Mytilus edulis: one gene and its partners. The protein of the gene in region 1 purifies or fractionates together with the protein of each later gene. This does not show direct contact. Links are inferred from orthologs where the notes say so. Each region holds a gene or a part of one and is shown in the gene's direction. Other genes may lie near its edges.

What was found.
Region 2: the proteins of U1 small nuclear ribonucleoprotein 70 kDa-like (region 1) and splicing factor U2AF 50 kDa subunit-like purify together in Homo sapiens (affinity purification with mass spectrometry; 4 studies listed by BioGRID, with this or other methods). This does not show direct contact. The link is inferred for Mytilus edulis from reciprocal best matches to the Homo sapiens genes SNRNP70 and U2AF2.
Region 3: the proteins of U1 small nuclear ribonucleoprotein 70 kDa-like (region 1) and pre-mRNA-processing factor 19-like fractionate together in Homo sapiens (co-fractionation; 3 studies listed by BioGRID, with this or other methods). This does not show direct contact. The link is inferred for Mytilus edulis from reciprocal best matches to the Homo sapiens genes SNRNP70 and PRPF19.
Region 4: the proteins of U1 small nuclear ribonucleoprotein 70 kDa-like (region 1) and tuftelin-interacting protein 11-like fractionate together in Homo sapiens (co-fractionation; 3 studies listed by BioGRID, with this or other methods). This does not show direct contact. The link is inferred for Mytilus edulis from reciprocal best matches to the Homo sapiens genes SNRNP70 and TFIP11.

Annotation. Positions count from the first base shown.
Region 1 is NC_092350.1:51,881,873-51,888,807, forward strand, and holds the start of U1 small nuclear ribonucleoprotein 70 kDa-like, read left to right. Parts: upstream 1-3,910; 5' UTR 3,911-4,317; coding exon 4,318-4,461; intron 4,462-6,552; coding exon of another isoform or gene 6,553-6,935. Other genes in the region: potassium voltage-gated channel subfamily A member 1-like, read right to left, coding at 1,115-1,210, 1,791-3,189, 6,553-6,935. UniProt on the Homo sapiens protein: Component of the spliceosomal U1 snRNP, which is essential for recognition of the pre-mRNA 5' splice-site and the subsequent assembly of the spliceosome. SNRNP70 binds to the loop I region of U1-snRNA.
Region 2 is NC_092352.1:31,991,510-31,999,266, forward strand, and holds the start of splicing factor U2AF 50 kDa subunit-like, read left to right. Parts: upstream 1-4,744; coding exon 4,745-4,757; intron 4,758-5,269; coding exon 5,270-5,275; intron 5,276-6,147; coding exon 6,148-6,277; intron 6,278-7,757. UniProt on the Homo sapiens protein: Plays a role in pre-mRNA splicing and 3'-end processing. By recruiting PRPF19 and the PRP19C/Prp19 complex/NTC/Nineteen complex to the RNA polymerase II C-terminal domain (CTD), and thereby pre-mRNA, may couple transcription to splicing.
Region 3 is NC_092349.1:80,858,355-80,865,829, forward strand, and holds the start of pre-mRNA-processing factor 19-like, read left to right. Parts: upstream 1-4,453; 5' UTR 4,454-4,494; coding exon 4,495-4,513; intron 4,514-5,750; coding exon 5,751-5,900; intron 5,901-6,838; coding exon 6,839-6,915; intron 6,916-7,475. UniProt on the Homo sapiens protein: Ubiquitin-protein ligase which is a core component of several complexes mainly involved pre-mRNA splicing and DNA repair. Required for pre-mRNA splicing as component of the spliceosome.
Region 4 is NC_092353.1:62,694,277-62,702,025, forward strand, and holds the start of tuftelin-interacting protein 11-like, read left to right. Parts: upstream 1-4,737; 5' UTR 4,738-4,849; intron 4,850-6,064; exon of another isoform or gene 6,065-6,163; intron 6,164-7,496; 5' UTR 7,497-7,527; coding exon 7,528-7,633; intron 7,634-7,749. UniProt on the Homo sapiens protein: Involved in pre-mRNA splicing, specifically in spliceosome disassembly during late-stage splicing events. Intron turnover seems to proceed through reactions in two lariat-intron associated complexes termed Intron Large (IL) and Intron Small (IS).

The DNA of each region.
Region 1 (6,935 bases):
TGTTTATATACTGGCTTCAGAAAAGGTCATGAAGGTACTGGAACTTGACTTTCAAAAATAAATCATGTATTAAATGATCACAGATAAGAAAATTTCACTGCAACACCCAAAATAATCTAACTTGCAGTAGAATTTGTTAAAAAAAAAAACTATCAGATTTTCAAGGACCATGGTAGATAGATAGTTTGCTAATACATATCAACCCCTGCACTAATAATGCACTAGGAGTTATTATTTATCATGTTTTATACAAATATACTGGCTTCAGGAAAAGTTCAGACAAATGAAATATATGATGGAACTGTACATTTTAACCAAAATTATCTCTAAGACATGTAAGATAACAAACAAAAAAAATTCACTGCAACACCCAAAATAATCTCTCATTTATTAGAGTTTTGTTTTTAAATGCCCAATTTTTTAGGACTTTGGTAGATATTTTGATATTATCAACCCCTACACTACGAACTACATGTATTATTATAACAGTATTGATTAATAGGTTCTCCCTGTTGTATGTGGGTTAATTAGTTTCTTCATTAGTGATAAATAACCACAATACACAGTCGACTTTAGTTCAGAGCCATAACTGCAGCACCTGTATGTACTGTATGTAATTGATGCACATTATATACATGTACAAATATTTTGTGATAATTATAAGCATATTCATGAAATATATGTAGTAATAATTCTATGTAATGATTCTGAACTACCTTACAGTAAAGTGTATAGATGTAGAAATAAATAAATAATATAACTATGATAACAGATTTAAAAGTGTTAAAGTGATGATCAAATTATATTGCTAATAGATTTTTGTTTTGTCGGCTCATAAATGAAAGTGGAATGTAAAAGTTTCTCAAAACTACACCAATAAAAAATCATAGGCAGTTTCATGGTCCTCTAATTTAAAGACAAAGCAGCAACTACAATGTATCTATGGTTACTCTGCAAGCGGTTCAAACATTTTGGCAATTCTGTTTTCTTCAAATATTACCCTTTTCATATATATATTCCTCCATTTTTTCTTCTGTTTGTGATTTTTTATTAATTGTCTAATAAAAGTATAATCATCTTACCTTTGTCAGCATTATGTCCACCAGTTTGAGCTTCAATCATTTCTGTCTGAGTCTCTTTCTTTGTTTCTGTCAGCCATTCCATCATCTTTCTCGACAACTTCCGTGTTTTGGTTCACTTCTAACAACCACTTATAATAGAATGAAAGTTAATTTGGAAATTCTTCATTAGTTAGCACAAATCTTCATTTATAATCACAGAAGTAGAATAAATCCATGACCATCTATAGAATAATCAGAATTGGAAATGTAAAGTTTTTTATCACTGAATTTTGTATCCTAGCCCTCACTATTTTTGAATATCTTCATATAAATAAACACTGATCCTTGTTACATGTATTTGATGTATACCTTTTCGTGTGTATTAACGCTATGATTTCTGGTTTTAGTTGTGTTATAATGGAAAGCTGTCATGAATCCATCTAGTATGAAAGGTGTTCATAATTCCAAAGATAAAAATACAAATTGCAGGTGCTTTAATGATTGGTGCAAAGATGAAAGACTTTTGGAGTTGAGAAATTCAAAATGAATCTTAATAAATATTATAGGATATAATATAATAAAATGCAAGGAAAGTGTTAACTTCAGTCAAAACACAGTTAAATTCCCAGTTACAAACAACTTGATGAGTAAAAAGTTCTAATGTTGTAACAGTTTTTGTCATACATCAGTCTCAATGCTTAAGTTATTCATACTAGAAGGGTTGTTTACCTTGTTTGTGTGGTTTTCTTTCGATCTGTCACTATTCACATTAATAAAACTACTGCCTTCCTCCATTTCCATAATATTTTCTGAACCGCTAGAAGCAATTGAACTTTTCTTGCTATTTGAGTAGTTTGGACAACTTTGTACATGATGGTAGTTCGTTTTATCATCATTCTCTGCCTCTCTATGATAAAAGTAGTTGAAGTTTGAAACAATCACAGGCACGGGTAATGCAATTGTTAGTACACCAGCGATGGCACATAATGAACCTACAAGCTTTCCCCAAACTCCTATCGGTCGCATGTCACCGTAGCCGACGGTTGTCATAGTTACAACCGCCCACCAGAAGGCATCAGGTATACTATGGAAATGCGTACTTTCTGCATCTGCCTCTGCAAAATACACTGCACTAGAAAACAATATAACTCCAATGAAGAGGAAGAAAATGAGCAATCCCAATTCTCGCATACTGGCTCTTAAAGTCTGTCCTAATATTTGTAGTCCCTTTGAATGTCTTGATAATTTAAATATCCTAAACACTCGTACTAATCTTATCACTCTAAGGATAGCAAGAGACATGGCCTGGTTGTTCGATTTACCTTCATCGGCAATTACGGTACCTAGAGTGATAAAATATGGAATGATTGCCACAATATCTATAAGATTCATTACATTTTTAAAGAATCCTAATTTTCCAGGACAGGAAGCATATCTAACTAAAAGCTCAAAAGTGAACCAAATAATGCAGCAGGTTTCTATAATGAAAAAAGGTTCATTAAACTGAGGAATATCATCTTCCTCAATCGATGGTGTTGTGGAATTGCCAGTTTCACTAGTTTTGTTCAAATATCGATACTTTTTGAATTCTGGTAATGTTTCTAAGCAAAAGATCACAATTGACATTAAAATAACAACCACTGAGAATATTGCAATTAGCCTGGCTGAAGTTGAACTTTCTGGATATTCAAACAACAGCCAAACTCGTCTCTGGAATATATTTGTAGGTAATGGTTTTTCTTCTTCCTTGATAAATCCTTCATCCTCCCTATACTTTTGAATAGCATCATCTCCTAGTTCATAAAATTTAATTTCCTCTGAGAAAACATCTAATGGAACATTAACTGGCCTTCTTAAACGCCCACCACTTTGGTAATAATATAACACTGCATCAAAACTTGGTCGGTTCCGATCAAAAAAGTATTCATTTCTTAGTGGATCATAGTATCTATTTCGTTTCTGTGGATTCCCTAGTAATGTCTCTGGGAATTGGTTTAAAGTCCGTAATTGTGTTTCAAATCGTAGACCACTTACATTGATTACCACTCGTTCACTGCACTCATAGTCACTACCTGCCATATCACTGGGCCCCATACCATCGACATCATCGGTTGGCTTTGGATAAGACCTGGAATTGGGAAGAACATGATTTTGACGCTGGTAATTACAATTAGGCCCACCATTACCTTGTTCTAAGCTCATCATAGCCACCTCCATTTTGCATATAAATGTAAGCCCTACTTACAACATTTAGTTTTGTTCATGTCATCTTTTCATGAATAAATATATTCCAGTTATTAAAATCACAAATTAATTTTCCTATTTGTAAGCTGTTTAATCATTTCCATTGTGTGCTATAGAACAGTTGTTAAAGCAATTTTTAATTTCTTGACTCAATGCCAAAGCCTATTTTGTACAGTTCTAAACTAGTCTAAGTTGTCAAAAAGAAAACTGTGTTAAGATTGTGATCACCTTTGCAAATGTTATAATCATAAAATTCACTTTGACTGTAAATCATTGGCACTGATGTCAAAGCATAATTTCTTAAACACACTTTCTTAAAAGTACATGTTCTTTCCAAACTAAGATTATCGTCTGCATAAAACAATCTCAAGTCAATGTCACTTTTTCACTGTCCATTTTGCACTTTTTTCATAGTTTGTTGCATGTAATTAAGCGTTGCTGTTTTATAAACATGATGAGTAGGGTTCAATAAATTAACAAACCATTTCTCATGCAAAAATTTCACCCTGAATCGCTACAATTTACTGTTGATCTTACGTTGACATGAACCCATTGAGTATATGATAGAGAGTTGAGACTTTGATCGATTAACCAATCAGAAACCCGTTTACAAACAACTTTGGTTATCGACTAACAGGTGCTTTATGCAGTGAATATTAAATTACCATTAACAGTTTATTCTTCCTATGGCACAAAGCATATAAAGTCAATCAGCTTTGACATTCTAGAATACTACATATTTCTTCTCTTGATAAGAAAACTTACGTTAAAATATTAATTCACTGCGAGGATAATACTTCACCTTATTCCCTGTGGTACGTCATTTATCGGCACAGTACAAAGCAACGAAGAACAGACGTCTCAATCGAGTTATTTAGGGACGTGGTAAATTGCATGTGTTGGTCAGAGAAGACAAATTGGCGTTTTACATTTACCGCTGTGTATTTGAATGAGGGTCGATAGAGGCTGTTGAACATTTTAAAGACAAGTTACTGAGAGATACTTGAACAAAATGACTGCTTTCTTACCTCCAAACTTGCTGGCTCTTTTTGCTGCCAGGGATCCTGTCCCATACTTACCACCGGCGGACAAATTGGGTTTCGAAAAGAAGAGGTTAAGTTATGGTGGAGTTGCACAGTTTCTTAATGAGTTTGAGGTAAAATCTAAATATAATTAAGTACAATAGATAATGTTTTAAATAGATAAACAAACTTACAATGTTTCCAAAATGGCTGACACTAAAGTTGCCATTGTTTACTAATTCTGCTTTAGAAAGTATAAGATATGTCCAGTTTTGGTTCGTAACCCCAGTCCATCGTTAGCTCTTTGATAATTGTGTGTATTAAGAAGTCAATTCTTGTAGTTTCAATCACGATTTCCCCCAAAAAGCACAGTAATGACAATTGCAGATGAAGGCATTGTTAAGAAAATCATTCTTAAATAATTCCTTTTGATACCAAATGTAAATAAACACACATGTGCATCTTAAAGCCTTTCCATTGAATCTGAATCAATTGGTGGAGCTTAGGCAGTTCATTATGAATAATTCACACATCAATGTGTTAACATAATTTAATCCATGACACACATACAAGCGTCAAAGACTTACAAATCAAGTTACACATATGAAGCCAGATTCTGAAATGCAATTAAGCCATTCATGTCACCAATGGCAACTGAATTTTTCATATAATTCCAAAAATAGATAATTTCCTTAAAGATAATCCAAGTTTACTTTACATTACACAAATTGGAAAAAATCCTTTCAATCAATGAATTGGCCTCCATAACTTAAATCGAGAATAAGCTACACTAGTGTCACAAAATAGATGGAAATTGATTTCTGAAAAGCAGGATGATTTTAGATGTGTAATCCAATACTAGCGTTTACCTGTACTAAAGCTAGGTGTAATAAGCTAAATAGTTACACAGTGTACAGAAATCATAGGAAAGTGGATTCTGCGATAGAAATCCAGCTCTTACTTGTTTAGATACTAGGAGCAAATTGTAAACAATGATCAGTGGATAAAACAGTGTATTGATTGGGAAAGTGTAGAGGGTGATGTACAAACATCAGTTGTTAATTATCTAGATACACAAAACCACCTCTAATATATGACATAAGTAAACAAAGTTATAATGGAAACAGGCACCTATCCATCATTGTCCATTAATATTATATTTTTGGCCAGAGAAAGAAATTAGTACATTCATCTCTAGGTCTCAACTTCATTTATAGGTCTCAATTTCTTCTTTCTTTTTTTTTTTTTATATCTATGTTTTTTTTAATTAATCCTGATTTTTTGTTTACAAAATATCATATTTGAAAATTATGTATTATTTTATTAATTTGAATTGACAAATGATTTGGATATATATGTGGCTACTTATTGATGTTACTGATGCCCTATCTCAAATAACAAGCAAAATGTGACAAATGTTGAATATTGATTATATATTGACAATTAACTTTCTAGAAAGATACAACATATTGTTGAATGAGATTAGACTTGTGTATTACAATTTACATATGGCATTATTTTTTATAAAAAAAAGATTGGACTTGTATATTATATGGTACATGTATTATTTGTTAAAAAAAAAAGGATCGGATTTGTGTATTGTACATGTTAATGTATATGACCATTATGGTATTATCCCTAACAATATACACACATTAAATATTTTGTAGTTGTATTTAGTAAAAATAGAATTGGGGTAACAAAAATTCAGTGCTGCAACCCAACAACAAAAATGAACTAAAATAGCCATATTTAAATGGAGAGATCTGCACACAAGTCAAGTTAAAAAATTTGAAAGACTGTTTTAAATTTTGTGTTTAAAACAGAATTGAGTTACAGCCACGAAATTTTTGAATTTAGTTGTTAAAGCAAAATACAAAGGCCTTGGAATGTTTAGGTTTTAATTATTAAAGAAAAGTACAGAGTAAATTTTTTACTAATCACAGGTAATCTTGGTAGTATGAGAATATGTTCCAATTATGATGCCTTCTCTCCCCCCCCCCCCAAAAAAAAATCAAAAATATATCGAGTGTTTTTAACAAATTGTTATCAGGTTTAATCTGTAAAAATATAACATAAACTATCATACTTAGTTTTACATTATGTAATTGTACATATATTAAACTACATGTATCATATATTGAATTTCCTGTGACACATTTCCTTAGGTATAAAGTTACAATGTTAAGTCTCAGATGTTTATATATACATGTAAATAGACTTACTTGTTATTTTGTATTTTTTCCAGTAAAGGAACTGTTGTCTCATCCTTTGTGTCTGACCATTCATCCTTGTGACATTTATTCACTGGAACATTTTCTAAGTTGTTACTTGCAGGATCGCAGTTAATATATTGTAATGAGTCTTGATATGGTGGAGGATTTGAATCGGGAGAAGATATCGGTGGTGTTGTTATTTGTTCCTGTTGATTGTTTTGGTCTTTGTATTTGTCACTGTTTTTTTGCTGCATCTTGAATATGTTTGGAAGACATGCTGACTTAGTTTCCTCGCCTGTACCCTGACCGCCTTTCGACGAATCTGACACAGAGCATGACCTGCCACTATTTGGTGCCGATTTGCTTCGCCTTATTCTTTTGGCAGCCTGTTG
Region 2 (7,757 bases), on another chromosome or scaffold:
TTTTTTCGATAACGTAACGCGTTCTTTGATTCTTATTCGTCAGGGTAACAATTTAGTCCAAATGGAGCAGAAGTGTTATCTTTATTTATAAATAATATGTTGCTATTTCGATGATACTGCTGTTCAGAGCTTGAGTAGAGGACAGTGCTGATTTGATTTAAAGGAAGAGAGATGATTCGGCCATGAAGTAAACTTAATTTCAGTCATACATTATTAAAAGAGATTTTTGTTGTTCATCATGTTCACATTCTTTCATTTATTTATTATTCACCCTCGTCCTTGATAACTGAAAAAAAATCACTTTATTACTCTCATGATTTTTCGTCGTAATGTTTTACAAAAATGAAAACAACAATGAGCATCCATACTGCATAGTCGGCTATAAAACTTTAAAGGCCACAGAAATGGACTGTTTTTCTTGCTACTTATATAATTAGTCTACAGTGGTCAATCCAGAAATTTTTGTAAGTTGGGGAACTGCCTAAGAAGGGGGTGCTCCAGTCATTCGTCAGTAATAACCTATATAATCAACCAAATTTTTTTCTGGTCCTTTTTAAATCGGACTCTGCTCTGCATGACACCAATGATGTATAGAAGTAGTTACACATCCTTGAGGCTTGATCATACAAGTTTATCTTTATTTAGAAAGTCTACATTACATATAAAGATATATTTACCTACCTCTTATTTTATAAAATGAATGTATTATTCAAAACATTGATAGAACCAAAAAAAAGTATAATGGGCCAAAATGAACTAGTTAATGACCTAAACCACATTAAGCTGAACAGGTTTTTTGCCGAAACGTTGCAAAAGCTATAAATTTTAAACTGTCATTTGGAATTCTTTTAACCCTTTCAACGCTACACAAAAAAAGAGAAAAATGGCTGCTGCTGCTGCATTTTTTTTGTGTTTATTCATTAGAACAGTATATTTCTTTTCAGACTGCTGTATCTTTTTTATTATAAGAGATACAGAAAAAGTTATTGCATGAAAAATGCTCAGGAGAGTATGAACTGTAATGTTAGGCAGTTATTTCAGTAAAATTTGTATCAGGTTACCTGCATTTTCAGGTAATTAACAGGTAAAAGGTGTAATTTATTACATTTGTGTTGAATTTTGAATAAAAACTACTTTTAGTCTTCATCTATTTTGTTTTTTTATCTGCCATATAATAAAGAAGACACCAATTGCTCGATTCCGTAGCGTATTGCACCATACATAACGTATTATGTTATCATGGCACAAATCAGTGGCTCCGTCCTCAAAATTTTCAGTCAATCTCTGTTTTCCCCCCTTTTTCTACGACTCGTAATGATCGATCAAATCATATTTTCCACACGAATTGAATGTAATAAACACATTGAGATAACAAGAAACCTTTTAACTAATCCTAGTCATCAGTTTTGCCATAGAAATGCTGAAATATTTCCATATTTACAGCTTCCTTTCCGATTTCCGCCATTTGCATTTGTCAAAATATTTGTTTTTATTTTCCTTCAATTTTCCTTCTACTGCATGATTTTACAATAAAAAATGCCGGGATTTCAAGCGCAAATGAGACCTTGCATATCCTAGATTCATACAAGGAAAAATTAGAGAGGACCCGAATGAAAACCGAATGGTTTAAGAGTCCTTATGAAAAATCCGTTGTCATCGCGGCATATGCCGCGAATAGCAGTGGCGGACGGCGTATGTCATCGCGACATATGCCGTGTATAGCGTTGAAAGGGTTAAGACTTTTCTAAAAATTGTCAAATCATGATCTTGTGCATTGCATTCTGCTGCCTTTGTGAGTTATGTTTTACAGTTTTCGAGCTTAATTAATTGTTTCTCTCCTGGTATTCTGGCATTCCTTCACTATATAATATAAGGAGATAATGTATTATTGCCATTTGAGATAATAATCCATCAGATACCAAATGAAATAGAGTTTAGTTACTAAATCTCATCTGGTCAGAGTTCGCGAAAACTTGTTTTGACCCGTTGGCCATGGGACCGATAAAGCAAGATCAATAAAAGTCAGTCCTACAAAATTTTAGCCAGTCCTAAAAAATCTGTCAATTTTATCCTAAAATAAAAATAAAATATTTTATCTAAAATAACTTTATTATTGTTAGTTTGATTTTTCACAGCCACCGGCAAATAAACAATGAATAACTGATTCTTATCTTCTGATTGTTCTTATTTAAAGTCATCTTCACTATCCATTTCATCATCTGAATCAATTTCTCAGTATTTGTTATCTCCACCAAAGGGTTCAATCATCGATTGTTTGCCTGGGATGGCTTAATGAACAAATTTAGCAGGCCACATGTAGATTGGCGCTTTCGTTTCCGTAGGTTTCCGTTTGTTTATAATAGGAAACCAGTACCGGAAATTACCAGCAGGTACATCTGATGACCGAGGTAAATATGTATTGCAGTGTAACTAATTACCGATTAAAAAGGCACTGCGACGGCCATTTTTACATCGGTCATCAGGACCGGAACTAGCTTTCAAAATATTGGTTCAAGCCTCATTTTGACCGACAGGACCGGCAGGACCTACCATTTTCGTGAAATCTGTCTGGTGACCTTGAACAAAGAACAAAACCTCAAGCATGCTTTGAAATGCTGTCTTCAATCATTGTCTTTTAACTTTTTATCTCTCATGTAAATTATCTTCTCTTGTAATGTGGCATGCCAAACGGTAAAAATTCACTGTAGAAAATTAACAAATGGATTTTGTTCAAAAAGAGCAAATAAAATTCAAAAATAATATACAGCAACAAACAGCAACCACTGAATAATACATTTGCAGGTTGCTGGAAATACTGGTCTGGGTCAGGAACATACAGAATATGGTGGAGTTAAACATGTTTTTGTGCACCCATACATTGTACCTCCCCTCTATTTCCTCACATTTCAATCTCAAACTTCATATATGTTCATCATACCCATTTGTTAATCATGTTTAAAGATCACTCTGAAAACTTTTTGTTTTTATATTTCCTTTTTGTTTTTAGCTCACCTGACCTGAAAGGTCAAGTGAGCTTTTCTCATCACTTGGCGTCCGTCGTCCGTCGTCCTGCGTCCGTCGTCCGTCGTCTGTCGTCCGTCGTCCGTAAACTTTTACAAAAATCTTCTCCTCTGAAACTACTGGGCCAAATTCTACCAAACTTGGCCACAATCATCCTTGGGGTATCTAGTTTAAAAAATGTGTGGCGTGACCCGTCAAACCAACCAAGATGGCCGCCATGGCTAAAAATAGAACATAGGGGTAAAATGCAGTTTTTGGCTTATAACTCAAAAACCAAAGCATTTAGAGCAAATCTGATATGGGGTAAAATTGTTTATCAGGTCAAGATCTATCTGCCCTGAAATTTTCAGATGAATCTGACAACCGGTTGTTGGGTTGCTGCCCCTGAATTGGAAATTTTAGGGCAATTTTGTTGTTTTTGGTTATTATCTTGAATATTATTATAGATAGAGATAAACTGTAAACAGCAATAATGTTCAGCAAAGTAAGATCTACAAATAAGTCAATATATTTAAAATGGTCAGTTGACCCCTTTAGGAGTTATTGGCCTTTATAGTCAATTTTTAACCATTTTTCGTAAATCTTAGTAATCTTTTACAAAAATCTTCTCCTCTGAAACTACCATGCCAAACTAAACCAAACTTGGCCACAATCATCATTGGGATATCTAGTTTAAAAAATGTGTGGCGTGACCCGGCCAACCAACCAAGATGGCTGCCATGGCTAAAAATAGAACATAGGGGTAAAATGCAGTTTTTGGCTTATAACTCAAAAACCAAAGCATTTAGAGCAAATCTGACAAGGGGTAAAATTGTTTATCAGGTCAAGATCTATCTGCCCTGAAATTTTCAGATGAATCGGACAACCCATTGTCGGGTTGCTGCCCCTGAATTGGTAATTTTAGGAAAATATTGCTGTTTTTGGTTATTATCTTGAATATTATTATACATGTAGATAGAGATAAACTGTAAACAGCAATAATGTTCAGCAAGGTAAGACCTACAAATAAGTCAACATGACCAAAATTGTCAGTTGACCCCTTAAGGAGTTATTGCCCTTTATAGTAAATTTTTAACAACTTTTCGTCATTTTTTGAAACTTTTCTAAAAATCTTCTTCTCCAAAACTACTTTGCCAAATTTAACCAAACTTGGCCACAATTATCATTGTGGTTTATAGTTTAAAAAATGTGTCCGATGACCCAGCCTACTAAACAAAATGGCCGACATGGCTAAAATTAGAACATAGTGGTAAAATGCAGTTTTTGCTTTATATCTTTGAAACTAAGACATTTAGGGCAAATCTTTCAACATTTAAATGTCCATCAGAATAAGATATATCCCCTCACAAATTTTGAGTTGAATCGGACAACCGGTTGTTGGGTTGCTGCCCTAAAATTTGTGATTTTAAGGATATTTTGCAGTTTTTGGTTATTATCTTGAATACTATTATAGATAGAGATAAACTGTAAACAGCAATAATGTTCAGCAAAGTAAGATCTACAAATAAGTCAGCATGATCAAAATTGTTAGAGGACCCCTTAAGGAGTTATTGCCCTTTATAGTCAATATTGAACAACTTTTCGTCATTTTTGTAACTTGTATAAAAATCTTTTCGAAAACGACTTGTCCAAATTTAATCAAACTTCGCTACAATCATAATACATTGTACTAGGGTATCTATTTAAAAAAAAAAGTGTCTAATGACCCCGCCTACCAACGAAGATGGCCGACATCAGTAAACACATTAACAGGTGAGCGACACAGGCTCTTGAGAGCCTCTAGTTATATTTCCTTTGTGAAATTTTCAACAAAAATAAATTTATATTATTGATTTATCATGGTCAACTTTTCAAGCAGTTTGAAATGAAATTCTTGTAGAGGCAGATTTAGGTGGAACAGGGGGCCTGGGCCCTTCTTTTGTGGGAAATATTGGTTGAATATTCAGGGTATCATTGGAGCAGGCCCCCTCATATGGTAGTCAGTACCCCCTCCCTTCTGTATCTGCCATTGCCTTGTAATTAAAATGTTAAGAAAATTATTGAAAAAATGCATACACATACATGTATATAGAAGTAAAACTTTAAATCAAAGCTAGACTGATTCCATCATGGGGGGCATAGATTAGATTCATTCAGGTACATTTCAAAAGGAATGTATTTGAATTATGTTATATGCAAAAAATGTGTTAGTCCCTTCATCATGTTCATACTTTCATTTTACAACTTATTAACTTTTTTTTACTTTTAGGAATTGGTATGTAACTGGTTTTCTTGTACAGAGAGATAGGGATCCTTGATTGATTATTAGCTATTTTGTTAATGGACATGCAATAATAATTTTGCAAACAACAACTTATCCAAGAAACAGTCCATCTACATATCAGAATTTTATTAAGCTGTTAGAAATGTGGATACTGCTTTTGAGTTTTACATTCTACCATTATCATGGTCAATGATGTATAAAAATCAAACATGGGCTAGTTAGGCAAAAAAATTGCAAATTTGTGTATTATTTCATGTCGTCCTGGTTTTCCTTAAAAGAGGAAGAGGATATGAAGACAACAGTTGAAAAAAAATCCCTCAAAAACCTACAATAGTGAATACCATGATAAAAAAAGAAAAACACTGTAAAGTCAAAACACAATATAAGTTCACAAAACATCACATAGTAAAATTAAAGATATTAACAGGTGCTCTATTCTTCTGTAATTTTCAATGCATATTTTATATCAGTAAGACAGCAACCTTCATAATACAAAATACAAAAATATATCTTGAAGTCAACATATGTTTGAAGAGAAGGAACAAACAGTTGTTTAAAGATACAGAGTAAGAAAATTACTTGTGATGGAGGACCACTTGACTAAATTCTAAAAGTTAAAAGTCCTAAACTTTAAAACTTTTCAGGCTTTTTAATCATGTGTAAAAATACAACAAACCATTGCAACTTCTTTTGTGTTCAAAAATAAATGTTGTATCAGTTTATTGTTTCATGTTGGTCCTATATTATTAGGCATATTAAAAATATAAATATAATACACATTTGACAATATACAGACAAATCACAATATCTAAAATACTGTACTTCATGAACTTATTTATAAAAAAAGTCAAATATATTAGCAGGGGAATTTAAAGAGGAAAAAGTTTCTAATAACAGACGAAGATCTAGATCACGATCACCAAGAAAACCACGTTCAAGAAGTAAGGACAGAAAAAGATCAAGGTCTAGAGAAAGAAAAAGGAAATCAAAAAGGTATTCTGATTCATTAAGAAATAATCACCAAGGCCAAAATAAAAAGATTGTATGTTTGCCCAAACGCGACCGACCCAAAATAAACCAGCCGACTCAAATTCTTTTTTTGACGTTTTATGGAAGAATTTTTTTTTTTCTTCGGATTTATTTTGGGTCCGCTCCGTCATCGTACGAAACTTAATATTTGTCATCTTTGCGTTTGAAAGTAACTAAATAAGATTAAAAGAAAGCGTATAAGAGACGCAGTTAATCGATATTCGATGTTCTCTGTTTTTATCTTCTGATTTAACGAACGTAAAGAAGTAAAACATGTGAAGTGGCACAGTTTTTTTACGCTGTAGTTGTTTGTACTACCAAACCCTTACCTATATGCTCAATGTTAATTTCATCGTGTTATCGAATATCTGATAAGAATATTCAGGTAGATTTGTTCAAAACCATGTGCAATCGAATATTTTCAAAGTTATTCTGACAGGAAATGGATCCGGAAGTTGCGAATTTACAATCATGCAAGAAGATTTTGTTTTTACTGAATAAAAAGGAATTATTTCTCGATAAATTGTTGTCTTTAATTATAATCTTCCTTTATCATGTAAATTAGATGCCCTTTTATTCAAATAGTTCAAATTTACAAGTCTCATTAGACAGTCAACACGTTGCTGTTTGGGAGAATTTGATAAAACTATAATTGCTCACAGAATCAGAAATATAATCTTAACTGAATGTAGATCCTTCTGAATAATTTATTGCAATATAAATATAAATCCCTTTTGACAAGAGAAATCTGACTTTTGTGAGAAATATTTTTTCACATGTGCAAAAGTAAAAACATGTTATGGACACCATATTGGATTTTTAAAGCAATTGCTTTTATGCCGTCGCGTATGGCCATCTTTGTGACCCAGATCAGAGACTCCGCCCAGATCAAGCCATAGTATTTTGTTAAACAGGCTCCTGGTCAGTCATTCTTTAACACCTATGTATGTTTTCTAATGCAATACATAGCTTGAAACTTTAAAAAAAAGTTAGTAGATTTAAGAAGTTTCAGAATATGTTCTTGTAGATGTATTTTTGTATTTAAAGGGTCAACCGTTTGACTATCAAATAACATAGAAGTCCGAGTGAAAAAAAGTACATTTTTATAAATGCGATTCCGTTTTCCGCCGTTCGTACGATGTTTCAACAAAATATGGATTCATTTCAGTTGCTGATTTAGTATTGAAAATTTAACTGAATTATCTCCTAATAAATACGGTTTTTTATGTTTAATTTGTGTTTCTTTAAGAGGTCAGGTGCTCTTGTTCATTCATAAAATTATCGTTCATTCATACATTTATCGTAAAATCAAAATCACTACACAGGTTAATGCGTAGTGTCAAATTATTACCTGTAATCTAAAAATAGACAAACTTTATTTGCGCAAATAATTTAGCGGAACGAAACCCTTGTTGAAAACACATAACAATAAGTTCGTTTTCCT
Region 3 (7,475 bases), on another chromosome or scaffold:
AAAAGCAGTAGTAACAGTTACATTTGTATATACAAATTGACCACTTACCTAAAACTGCAACTTTTGACACAATACTGTAGATAACATCAACAATCAAGTATGAAACCCCTTACAGTAGGAATTACAATATAAATCATACTGGCATGAAGACAAATCTACTTATCAAGAGCTATATAAAATGGTCAACACTGCTCAGTTATCAAGGTACATCTATAAAGCTGTTGATCCTGATACCTTTGTTCATGTAAATAATATTATCATGTCTTAACCAATTTTCTTTTTTTCTATTTTTCAATATCTAAGAGCTGAAAATGTCATGTATTCAAATTGCTCTTATGTAACAAATGTTATTCTAACATAGAGTCTGAGCTATATTGATTTTAATAATGATTTATAAAATATATCTTGATAAATAAAATTTATTTTATTTACCAACTGCAATAAATGCTGGTTAACACTTGAATATTTTTGCTGTAAAATTCACATGAACAAGTAATTTCCAGGCAAACTTCAAGCCATTAAAAACAACCATCACTATACATTTGTTTATTCTTGATTACAAAGCTGTCTTTACAGAATTACATATCAAAATGGATTGTTCCTTCTTTACATAGTACAACTGACTGTTATAAAATGAAAATATTTGGTGGTATTTGACATATTTCTGCTGTAACAACTACAACACACAAAAGTCAACAAACTAAACATAAAATAATTTCTATCTCATCATACATATGTTTACCACTTCCATTCATACAAATGATGTTGATAACGCAGGTCAAACAAAATTAAAGATCAAATGCTCTCACACCCGGCCACCAATGAGTATGAAAAAAGTGTTCTTGGAAATTTTTTATTTTTTTCACTTTCAATTTGAAATAGAAGCCCTTTCTAAAAGCCATAACAAACAAAGTACATTATGTTCTCATATAAAATATTATGATCAAGTGGGACAATACGGCCCTCTAATTTTATTTTGCTTGGCCTCATGAAGAAATGATAGCTATATGTAATGTATTACACCAAAAATGTTGCCTTTAGTTTAATGTATATGTTATATGAATAAACCAAAAGGCTTGTTTTTATGTGAAAATAAAATATGACCATCTTAACTGTTTTTCTGTAGGTTTTCTCTGTTTTACATGTACCCAGTACATTTAACACATTGAGAACACTTCGAGAGTTTACAATGGTCAACTTATATCTCCTTCAATATGAACAAAAGGAGATTAGAATGAAATATCTACAAAATAGCAACCAGATATTACAATTAAACCAAAGCCTAATTTATGATCTCTTACAATTGACAAGCATGAGGACTATTCCATTTAAATGGTTTTGAGAGGGCAAGAAGGGGCTACCCTAACTCCACAAACAACCAAAATAATATGGATTCGATATTATTTGTAAGAAACAAATTTTCATGGATTTTGTGAGTAGAGGCGAACCACATATTCAAATGTTCAACAAACCACTAATTTTCTATAGACTTGTATGCAGACTTTTGTAAAATCACGAAATCCAAATATCCACGAAAATGCATTTTTTGGTTTAATCTATGAAAATTGGTACCCTCTGTAAATATAGAAAAATAAAATATGGATTCTGAACATTTCTTTTTTTTACATTTTTGTAGGTTTTACTGTATTTCATGTTAAAGCAGGTTTCACAAGTAAAACTGTGAGCTAGTGCTCACTGATGATACCCGCGATGAAATATTTCGGAATACTGTTTTTTTTTTTTTTTTTTTTGTTTTTTTTTGTTTTTTTTTGTTTTTTTTTTATAATATGGATATATGGATGGCTGTTAAAATTTAACTTCCATTGCATGCAAATCAAATATATATTCAGGGCGAGTACATTATAATGCGATATGAATATGGACCCTTCTTTGTGCAAGACCTGCATGCTGAGCCGAACTTTAAGCTTCTAATTCACGAGACACGATCTAAAACAGTCCTCAGGAAGACAAGTCACCCTAACCAGACACGTTAATCATAATCCAGGCTGACATGTTCGCTCTTACTCCTAGCTAGGGTGTCACGCGTCTAGCGGAGTAGCAGCAAATACTCAAGTTTCAAGTCTTTGGTTTGATCCAGTCCACGGTACCATGCGACCACGCCGAGTGAGGCATTGTGTTTTCTAAGTACTTTATTACTGATATAAATCAATTTTGAGATAGCAACAGTGAGCAAATTATAGTAAGTGCGTACCTACTTCCTCTTCCAGAAAAATCGCTGAAGAACGTGTTTTAACAACGACTGAACTTAAAGATGCTACTGAACACCAAAGGCATCAACTATAATTAAATTGAGAATGGAAAGTGGAAATATGTCAAAGAGACAACAACCCGACCAAAGAGCAAGACAACAACTGAAGACCACCAATGGGTCTTCAACATAGCGAGAAAATACTGCACCCAGAGGTGGTTCTCATCTGGTCCCTAATTAAAATTGTGTATATTAGTTCTCAATCAGTGAAAATGGACGTCACACTAAACTCCGAAACATATAAACGAACTAAAAATTAGAAATACACACAAGACTAACAAAGGCCAGAGCTTTCTGACTTGAGACATGTTTTCCTAAATAACACAAGAAATCTTTTTTTTTTAAATCTAGGTTTCAAATATTGTAAGATATTAACTTTTCCATCAGCCTTAAACGCTTTTTGTTTTTATGTACTAGTATTAGACAGTTTGTTTGTTTGTCTCCGTTGACAGTTATGATTTCTATACTTTGTTTACGACACTTTCTCATAAACGCTTCACTTAATTGTATCACAAATATGGAGATTTCTTGCGGAAGTAAGACACCCCACCTGACAAGAATTCATAAAAACAATGTCAACTAGATTTGTAATTGCTAGCAATAACGGATGGCACCCTTCCCCCATTGCCAGGTGAGCGGCAGCCATTTTGAAAAATTCAAAGTCAAAGATAACATATACACATGCCAATTAACATTTTTGTAAAGTTTCGTCAATTTTGGAGCATTTTGAAATTTTTGAAATTTTTGCTATTTCAATGGTTACGGGTACCATTTCCAAAATTTCAAAGACAGAAGCAACTTTGAGACATGCCATGTAACATATTGATTAAGTTGTAGAAGGTTTGATTTAATATTCTTGCAGGAACTGCAGCTTCAAAATGTTTTCCCTTAGGGCCAATGTTAAACCTTTGCCCTGTTTCCATGACAATGGTGGCCATTTTGGGATTTCCTAATATTGTCACAACATCTAGGCATACCAAGGAACATTACCATAAAATTTCATCCAGCTAGATCTTATAATGAAAGATTTAGAAATTGCATTTTTTTTCACATTTTATCAGTTTCCATGGCAACGGCAGCCATCTTGATGATGCCATACCCCGTTTGCACAATTTCATATAGTGGTCTACATTATGGTATAGTTCCATCAATATTGTTCAAGCCAATTCTGAGAAATAGCATGGACAAAATGTGTGGAAGAATAAATAAAATAATAAGAAAAAAAGAAACGTAGAATAACAATATGTCACCCAAACTCCGTTTAGGGTGCCATAATTAACACTGAGCTTTTTACGTTAATATTTATACTTAGGTACATACATGTAATAGAATTTGTCTTTCAAGTAAATCTTTTTTTTTTGGCCCTAATAGGCGCTGCCTTTTTGTTAGTAACGGTTGTACCAGTAGTGTAGCTTTGTAGTTCAATCATTGCATTGTATTTTGGGGACGAGAATGCTTCGTTTATATTTTTTCTAGATCAGTACTAACATATACTTCTATACTGATGGAACTATATTACTATTAAGTACACTGAATAGTCCAGGATTGCATTGAGACTTTATCGATGGTTAGAAATGAATCACTATAGATTATCAGAAATTGGAATAATAAAAGATTCTATAAGTAAAGAATTTAAATGAATTTATTGACTGGTATTTTTTTTAACATAAGTCATATTTATGTCTTTTCACAATAAAAAAACCCCTATCTTTTCGGTTATTGATTCTTCTGGGACTGACCAATATCCGAGACATATATGTCACTAAAATGATATACAGTCAGTGGACATAAAAGAGTTCCCACTCAAAAAATGTCCTATCATTTCCAGTAAAATCGATATTTATCAAAAAAATATCCCCAGTCACTTTATTTTCTTTGTGTTCACCTCGTCAGAAAATTAAATGAAGCGATGATGAATAACATCTTCGCTTTTCACAAAAATAAATCTAGGGGAGGGGTCTGAAGGAACTTTTACTTTTTACTGGCAATTAAGTTGACCCCACCATGCATAAGTTTTTAACAATATTTCCTTTAAATATTAGAACAAGCTTTCTTAAATAACAATCACCCATCAAATTTTGATATTAGTGCTTTCCTATATCATATCTATTTTTTTTTTATATTTATATATCGATGTGGACTTTTTTTTAGTGGCCACACTATTATCCGGATTAATTTCCGACTATAGATCTGAATTTATAATTTCATCACGTGACATATTCAAAATGGCGCTTTGCTGTGCAAGTAAGAAAGAAAAAGAAAAATCTAATGTTTTCTCATATATTTCGAATCCCAATTACATCTACTGCATTTCAGCAATCGCTACAAGTTAACACAATATCAATGAATGTCTACATTCAATTTATATTTCAGTACTTCTCAAAATACACACCATACAACAACATGCTTGCCATGCCGGCTTAAAACAGGCATGAGAATCGTAGATTAAAATGATGCTTATGGATACAAATTTATAAATGAGCATTTTGTTGAGGTGGTAACATCAAACATTCAATCTCAAAGAAATCTTGTTAACACCAATGAAATGTCACATGTAATTGAATACCTAAATGATTTGAATTGCCTTTTGAAAATAAGGAGATTACGGTACGATGCCAAAACACCTTATCGCAATTCGGAGATCTACCTGTCTACCTAAGTTTTTCCATACACAGGAGATCAGTTTGATCCTCTATATTTGGCTCTGGTTCATCGTCACTAACTACACTTGTGCTACTTCCGGTGTTATAGGTGTATTCAGTGTCAAAGTTTTAAATAGGGCTCTCCACAGTTAGTTCAGCCATATTGGATAGGGGGCAGATTTTTATCAAAGAGTTGGAAACAGTATGAAAGTATGGGAAATCCTATGCATGTTTCTAAGCAACTGCTCTATTTTAACAATGTATTCCCTCATTTTTCACACTACTTTTATCTCTTTAGTGACAATCTGCCCCCTATTCAATATGGCTGAACTAACCGTGAAGGAGCCTATTATTGGGTGTTCTTTCCAATGTTTCTCTAGACGATTTCCAAAAATCTTTACATTCTGCTTGATGCAAGTTTTAACATGGGTTTAACTTTGACTCATACAACAATCACTTTTCCATTGTGGTGTCGGATATTTTCTGATGTGACTTCAACATTTTCTGGGAACCTTTGCAATGACCAATGTCCAATTGTTTCATATTTTCATGTTGGGGCCTTTTATAACCAACTATACAGTACTTCCGATTTATTTGATCTTTGGCGGACAAATAGCAATAAGGTGTATGACAACTATCCACCAAAGATCAAATAATATAGGAAGTAAGAAATTACATGTATATGGCTTTTAACTATGAGAAAAACAATACTGTATAGTTGGTTATAAAAGCACACAAGTACATGTAGAATAGGCTTTTCTCATCAAGAAAGCTTAGAACATATTGAGAATCAAGCAATGATTGCTTATTGTTGATACAAATGACACATATTCTTTTAGTCAGTAATGAAGTTCCAGAACAGCCAGTTATATCTCCTGTGTCAGGACATGTCTATGAGAAAAGACTGATAGAGAAATATATAAAGGAGAATGGAGTTGATCCAATGAATGGAGAATCAGTAGCTGTAGAAACACTCATAGAAATAAAAGGTAAGTAGCATGACTTGTAATGAAAATAAACTTACAAAATTCAAGTGTATGCTTTCAAAAGGGGACATGTAATAGGAAAGAAAAGAAAATACACTTACAGGATTCCTGTACATGCATAAAAAAGGAGGACATGAACCATAAACGATGTATGAAATGGAGAAAAAAGGTTATTTAATGACCTAATAACATAATACAGTATATTGAAATATAAGATTAAGGTACATGGACCCTTTATAAAAATGGTACAGAATTCAGGAGGTTTTAAAGATATGCACTCTTAATAGAAAATATAATTAATACTGAAAAAGAATGCTCTCAAACATTATCATGATTATGCAGCAGTAAAAGTTTGCATGTAATATTTAGAAAAAGTCATTGCAGTCATTCTTATTGACCAAAGGAATCAACGTCCTGAGTGGTGAACAACTTTAAATAAAGAAGATTCTGGGTATTTCCCAGTGCAACAATAATCCAATCACAAAAATAATTGAAAGACATCTAGAGGTCAACATACAATTTTCCCCTGTAGCACATATAGGTAGAGTGATATTTAGTTAACCTCATCGAAATTTACAAAATTGTTTACAAAGTAAATCAATTCTTGTTTCACAGTTTTGTTTATTTTGAACTCTCAGTCTGACATTAGATAAAAAGCTCCTGTTTATATTTCAAATTTTTGATTTGACCAATCCTTTTTACATCAGACCAAGAAAAAAAGAGAAAGCATATTCCAAATTTACTGATTTTTAATATTATCTCATAGGATATGCTTTCTGATAATATTAGTCTTTCTTAAATCATTGTAAATGTGAACATCTGTGTTCTCTTTAGAAAGAAACAATAAAGATCATTAAATGGATTGAACAAATTCATCATGTAAATGATTAGTTCGTCATGTTTTTGGATAATATATTACAAGTGTATTTTGTTATTTTTAGCTAACCCTCTAGTAAAACCAAGACCTGCTTCTGCCACTAGTATTCCAGCCATTTTGAAGGTTTTACAAGATGAATGGGTAAGAAGTTTATCTGTTTTAACACCCAATCTATATAAATTAAACAAACATTCAGACATTTAGTTTATCTGTTTTAATTAAGTCTGGTTGTATACTTTCATAACTTTCAGATGCTTTGAAGTGACTTTAATGAGATTTGCTGCGGATATATATTCAAATTAAAAATGAAGATTCAAAAAATATCATTAGCCTATTTACAATCCATAAGTTTAAAAGAAAAAATAATTATAGGTTTATTTGAATTTTTTTGAGATATAGAACATGTAGAATATTTATTATACCCCCGCTTTAAAAAAGGGAGGGTATACTGTTTTACCTCTGTTTGTCCTTCCGTCAGTCCCATGAATATTTTTTTTCATCGCATTTTTCTCAGGAACTACAATACAAGGATTTCTGAAATTTGGTTTCAGGGTTTATCTAAGTCAGCTATACCGTGTGATGCATTTTCAGATTGATCACTCAACAACTTCATGTTTACCGAACACTTGTATGATTTTACACATGATAGCCAAGTTGAAAATTTTCGTCACATTTTTCTCAGGAACTACAATACAAGGATT
Region 4 (7,749 bases), on another chromosome or scaffold:
TCCCTTGTATAGTTTTTCTCACAGTTTTAGATTAAAAAGTGACACACATGAAAGATCTTTAAGAATGCAAATCAAAGTACATTGTCTGTTGAATTAGAATGAAATTGTCCGAAAGATTAAACAGAAACTATAAATAATATAAGAAACAAGTCCAAATGTCCGAAATAAGAAATACATAAATTAGTGCGACTTTTTCCACGTTCACAGATTTCTCCCTCCTCGAATGAAACGCGTCCTCGCGTTTCGCAAGTATTGAAAAAATGACAATTATCTATAAAAAGTTCTTTGGTTGTTGAAACGTCCATTTCTGGAACACTGACTTGCATTGGGACGATTTATATGATTATTCCTACAAATTCTTATTTGATTTTCCATATCGGCAGATTGATCTGTTAGAATTTTAAATTTGTTCCGAAGTTCATGGTTTAGAGTAGCAATATTTCCGATTTCATTAGTTTGATAGTCACATTTTAGAATTAGGAAATTGTTTAGATCTGATATTTTTTTCGTGCATGCAGCATTGTCTTCCTTTTCTTTCTCTAGTTTGGTGATTTTGTCTAAACATTCTTTCAACTGCTCTGTCGAATCTAGTTGGTTTTGACTTTTCACTAGTTTGCAGGTGAGAGTTCTTATAGTCTCTTGTGCACTTTTTAAAAGTTCTGATTTTGCGGAAACCACTGATTTATTTTTCCGTAATTGAATGTTTGCTTGTTTTAGTTCGACTTTCATTGGGGCTGCCTGGTCGAAAAAGTTCATGAATGCTGAATTTCGCACACTGCTGAATGGCAATTCCCTGAGACTGTTTTTATTTGAATAATACTGTATTAAACGGCGATTGTCTCTAAGTTGTTTTTTTGTTGAATTCTTTTGTTCACTTGACACTTTCGAACTTGTTGATTTAGTAAATCGAACTTTACCGAATAAACTTGGTCTAGCTGTGAAACACTGTCTTGCGAAATGTCCGAATTTGTCGCACGAGAAACATCTTTTGTTGTAAGCTAGACACATTTCGAAACGATGATGTGCAAGTCCACATTTACCACAAACTGGATATTGATGTGTGAAATGATTCTGTCTCCACATACTCCACTGCGGTCTTAGATTAAAATCCATCACTGAAAGTTGATACGAAGATGGGGAAGAACTCTGGTCGCTTGACTGCTGAGGTACGCGGTACCGTGTGTTGTACTAAAAAGACAACACGCCTCTGGATTACCTCCGCCAAATGTGACAACGTTGTTGTAACTGGAATGTTTGATACCGTGCAACAGGTTCTGTTGCTGAAACTGGCGAAGATGCCGAAACGAATGACAGTGACCGAAGACTGGTCCCCTGCCTATTGAACATAAATCCACTGGCGGAACTAACTCACAGACTGGTAGAGCGAATACAAACGAAGACTTTCAGTATAGATTTTATTTTCACTTTAATGAACGGATGATGTCAGTTCAAAAGGCTGACTCCGACTAAAGAATTAACTTCAGTCGAAACATTATAAAGATAGACAATGTTTACAGGTTGTCAAAGAATTAAGATTACATAACAATAAAGTTGACAAATTTTACAAACATAAGATTAACACTTTAAAGTAACAATAGACCGTAATTGAAAAACGGATTAATGTCATTGTTATCAAACATGTCCTGGACAAGAACTGATAAAATATATATTGAAAAGAATTATCTATGTACGACATTAACGGATTAAAATAATTATGAAATGAAATAGTTGTGTAACATAAATTAACACAATCCCTTGTATAGTTTTTCTCACAGTTTTAGATTAAAAAGTGACACACATGAAAGATCTTTAAGAATGCAAATCAAAGTACATTGTCTGTTGAATTAGAATGAAATTGTCCGAAAGATTAAACAGAAACTATAAATAATATAAGAAACAAGTCCAAATGTCCGAAATAAGAAATACATAAATTAGTGCGACTTTTTCCACGTTCACATATCTATGATGAGTTTATTTACTTTCGAATGATTTTACTTATACTTTATATGAAAAAAAGGATGTCCAATGCTAGATTTAAGTACAACTCTTTGTAAGAACCAGGAAGAGTGCGATATATGAAGGTTTCAGATTTTATCTTATAATTGACATAGTAGAAGCAGTAAATAATGAATACTGCTCAAAAATAATTATGAGTGGGAAAATATGAATGGTTGCCATGTTAACGAACAATCTATTTTTTGGTTGTTAAGAGTAGAAAAAGCTTTAAAAAATCAGCTAAATCACCGCAATTTAGAGCCTGATTATGAATAGAATCATGTATTTTTCATTAATGTTCATATGTAACATTGATACAACTTGGTTTAAGCTTCATTTTAGTGAAGATTGCATGTCAGCCAAATGACAAAATGTCGTGATATTTTCAACTTTTCTGAAATTGTTTTTTTTCTTCTTCTAAATTATCAAATTTTCTCTGGTGTTTTTTTTTAGAAAAGTCCAAATGTGTACAGAATAGTTAGCACTGTAGTTATGAAGTTTGGATACTACTTTACCAAATTAAATGAAAAAAAAATACGTGGGATTTTCTATAGTTTTATCACCATAGCAACCGATTTTTTATTTGCAGAATATCGCAGTTTGAGAGCTTAAATGTCATAACCGATAAAAATATATAAAAGCTAACGCAAACTTTAAATTACTATCGTCAAGTGTTGTTGACTTCAATTGTTACTATGGAAACATATATTATCTATAGCAACATCACCTCAAAAACTGCATAATTAGAAATTTATGTAAAAAAATATGTAAATAGAGTGTTTATTTTCAAATTAGAATATGACTTCACTCTTCACTCACAGTCTTGTCTTATTTGCCCCGACTTTATTCTAAAATATCCTATAAATCTCATTCATAGAGTTATACACATGGGAATACAATATGAAATAGATGAGGAACAATTTGATTGGGAACTCATGTTTGTTTTAACACAAACAAGAAAAACCTTAACCATTGTCCTTACAACAAAATTATTTTTAATGTTTAAACCCGCTGTATCTTTTTGTACCTGTCCGCGGATAAGTAAGGAACCTGTTGTTCAGCGGTTGCTGTTTGTTGATGTTTTTCATAAGTGTTTCTCGTTTCACATTTTTTAATTAGTTAAGGCCGTCGGGTTTCTTGTTTGAATGCTATTACACTAGTCATGTTTGGGCAATTTATAGCTAGCTGTTCGGTTTGAGCCAAATAAGGCTCCGTGTTGAAGACCGTACTTTGACCTACAACGGTTTACTTTAACAAATTATGACTTGGAGAGTTGTCCCATCATGCTCATTGGCACTCATACCACATTTCCCTTGTAGATTTCGAAAAAAGAGCAACATAATGCCTCTACAAGGTAACACTCGCACGCGCAAAAAAAAAGAAAAGTAGGTAAGTAAGTATAAGTAAAACTATATTTGGACTCGGCATATTGACAAACAGTACAAACATAAGCTCTAATGAGCTATTCACCGAATATAAAAACATATGCAATAACAAATAAAACAAGGCATGCAGAATAAATAATAAAATGCAGCACCAGAAATTAAGAAAGGGATAAATATGAGTTTCAATAACGTGTTCCCCAATCCACTATACATATTATAAAAATGTTTAAACTAAAACTAACTAATCTAACATTTTCTTATAAAGTTGAGCCGGGTTGATCATTTTTCAAACTTATTCTGAGAAATACATGTAAAGAGGGGCGGCATAAAGTGACGACAAAAAAATAATAATCAGAAAATTAGAATGATTTATATAATCTATGCGATACAAAAAGCAGTAACATAAGCCAAATCATACAATGACTACACAAATAAAACAAACCTAAATGATTTCATTAAACACGGAAATTATAGCTTTTTCATAACCGAAGTTGGTTAAATATTAAATTTTAGTCATTATCATTGTCGTGTTTTCAAATACGAATGCATTAAGGTCAAGGAACAGTAAATGGGCTATGTCGCAGATTTTGTTAAAAAATTGCATACAACCTTGGCTCGTTGAACTACAACTGAAAATCGAAAAATTTATACATTTATCTCTTTTATTTTCTGAAAAATTGCAGATTGATTTCTCTTAATATGGGTGAACATTTGTATATAGGAAGCACATAAAATCGACTAAAAACCTTCTAAAATTTGTCTTTAAATCGCCAAATCTATAATTCTACTCCATAGATTTTTCTTAAAAAACTATATATTGTTGACACATAAATTTCTGTTTTAATGATATAAAATAATCATAGGGTCACCGACTTCGTTTTTTGTCTAATAATCATTTTGCTACCTTATTGGTAGTGAAAAACGTCAAAAATCAACGTTTTACGGCCTGCAACGCGATAACGTTACGATTATTTCGACGTTTTGTTGGTTTTTTTCACAAAGAACGCATCTTTGAATGATATATACCGTAAAAACGAAGTCGGTGACCCTATCTTTATTTTGCATCATTATAACGGAAATTTATGTATCAACAACATATAGTTTTTTAAGAAAAATCTATGGAGTAGAATTAGAGATTTGGCGATTTTAAGACAAATTTTAGAAGAGTTTTCGCCGATTTTATGTGCTTTCTATACAAATGTTCACCCATTTTGTAAGAATTCAATCAGTAATATTTCAAATGATAATTGAGATAAATGCATTATTATTTCGATTTTCAGTTGAAGTTCATCGAGCCAGAGCTGTATGCCAAATTTTACTGAAATCTATGACATAGCCCATTTACTGTAACTTGACCTTAAAAAATACTATTGAACGTTGAAGAAAAATTGTTTGTGTTCCCTTCTGGTTTTGCAAAGCAGAAGTATTTAGCTGATAGACCATACAGACGGTGCTTCATTAGCTAGCAGGTATACAGGTTTATGAACTCAAAATATTTAGAATTTTTTGATTTTAAGATTACCTGTAAGTTACGTTAATGCCAAAAGTAGGATGATGACACGAACGTATACCCTACAACTACAAGCTGATCGGCATAAAATTCAGCAGATATGAAATTGCTCCAACTCGTCAAATGTGCAATCAAGAACCAGAAGACCTTACTCATATGCTTACTACCTGCTCAGCATTAAAGTGAGACAAGAAAAGAAACTTTCAACCAGATAAAAACTTATGTAACCAAATATCATTGGAGGAATGTCAAATGAAGTGGAAAGAGAACATTCATTGATAGACATAAAATTACAGTCCTTGTAATTGACTGTACAAACTTCACATATATATTTAGTGAAAGCAAGCTCAAAATAGAAGAACTATAGTCGCCCTCAGTTGAAATTCGTAGCGGTTATCGGTAAAAATAATCTAACCTATCAATCGCTTTCACTCGAGATATAGTTTTTCACATTCCATTCATAAATCGCAAAAAGTCAAACCACTACTGACCTACCTTTTAAGTCATCACACTGTAGTAATCATAATATGAGGCAGCCATTACCTGTGAATGGGGACGAAGTCTGTAATTTTTTTTTTTAATTCAAACATGTTGATAAAAGAAACGGAAATACCGTAACGTTTCCGATGTTGGTTCTGTTGTAAGGGGTTTAGTTGTGACGTTATTTAAGTTATGACGTAATATTCAATGTAAACATAGAAACGCTGTTATCCAGGTAACGTTTTTTTCATATCAAACAATTATTAAAAATGATTGGGTGTTGATTTCCTTCCTATATAATATTTGTTGATATATTGATAAATATACATTTTATTCAAAGTCTCATGCAAACAAGACCGGAAACGGAAGAAGACTGGAAACGGAAGTAGATCTGAAAAAAAAGTTAACGATTTTGAGTTCATTAGTACAATGAAAAATTCGGGAAATTTTCCCGAAATTTAAAAAAAAAAAATTTTTTATTGATTTTTCTACCGTAATTGGGGACTTTGTCCCCATATAATCCTGACCTTCACATTTTCCAGAATGTTTTCCATTGTAATTCCACCATCTTCTTTCTATGAGGATCATTAGTTTACATATGATATTCGTCACTTACACAGTTTCCTGAAATGTTCTTTTCATTGATGTGATAAGGTTTCCCGCGCTTTATGCAAATTTTATGAAACTGATCTCCACGGAAGCACTTCCGGTAAAAACAATGGCGGATTCCACCATTCAAAATCGTCTTGGAAAATGTGAAGGTCAGGATTATCACATTGCAATCACTTAAAAGGTAGGTCAGTAGTGTGGTTTTTCTTTTTGCGATTTATGAATGGAATATGAAAAACTATATCATGAATGAACGTGGTTGATAGTCTAGATTAGTTTTACCGATAACCGCTACGAATTTCAGCTGACAGCGACTATAAAAATGCTCACAAGAGATATGTGCTACAAGATGCATAACACAACACTAAAACTGATAAGTGTGTATTGGCTGTTGACAATTATCAGTCAACTCAGAAACTTAAGTCTATTTTAGATTTTAGCAAGTGTTTACATATATTCACAGAGTGTGTACATAGTTAAAGACTTTTATCCATATTACCCTCAAAAGAGGGGTGTTCCTAAAAGAGGAAGATGAAGAAGAAGAAGTTAATAATGTTTTATGCATATGGTTCATCAAAAATTATCTGTAACTTGTTAGGTTCATAATTTATAACAACTTAGATATACATGATATACAGATACACAACTTGTTCGACCACAGTACCATTTCATCTATAGCCGTTTTGCCCTCTTCATTTGATAATGTTCTATTTGCAGCCCTACCCTATGATTATGATATTAAAATAAGTCAGGCATTAGAAGCCACTACCTATCTAAAAAAAACCCAGCTAAACAGCCATACAATCAGTGGTTTTGCTAGCCCTCTTCACTTTCATAATTTACGAAATGGTTTTCGCATTGACTAAAGTAATGTATTTCAAATCAATTTCGTTATTTTTTTTTTAAATTTTGGAAGTGTAAAAATATTTTCACATTAAAATACTTTAAATTTACCTGTCTTTATGTTTTTGACAAGTTTATGACCCTTAGGTAATTTACATTTACAGGTGTTACAAGTTGTGATTACAACTAATCCGCTTATTGCCATCCTATGGGTCACTAATCTGTTAATTATTTATAAACCTCATAATTGACCATCACAATTATTTTCCCCAGGAAAATCAGTAAGTCTGCATTGCAACATCCAGGAGTATAGTTTCTTCATTTGATCAAAATTGTTTCCCCACTGACAGTTCACATTTGAATTTTAATACTTCTCCAACGATCACAATTTGAAGTTCCTTTGTCGTAGATTTATCAGTTAAACGCATTTTCGTCATATTTGATATGAGGCTGGTCATCAACATGATTTACATGGTCATACTGGTATATACATGTCCAAAAATGATTTAAAATTCTCATCCAATCAAAAAGATTGGGAAATTTTAAGATTCTTTGAAAACAATTAAAAAAAAAAGAAGAAATAAATTTTTTACAAAACAAAACTTAAATTTGCATGTACAAACCATGTTCAAAACTGTGTTTGTATTTCAATATCATGCAATGATTGCTTTCAGTTTGTTGTTCATGTTGTTTAGACAGTGAACTATGTCTTCACCAGAAGTAGAAAGATTTGAGGTTACAGAAGATGATTTGGCAAATGAATTCTACCCAAGAATGGGAAGGAGACAGACCAAAAACCAGGCCATATATGGTATGTAAAATATGAGACAGAATTTGTTATAAAGTCAATTTATTATTTATAACATCAAGGGAGATAATATTGTAAAACATTGTTTTTTATTTTGATGTCAAAGCTATACATGGAAC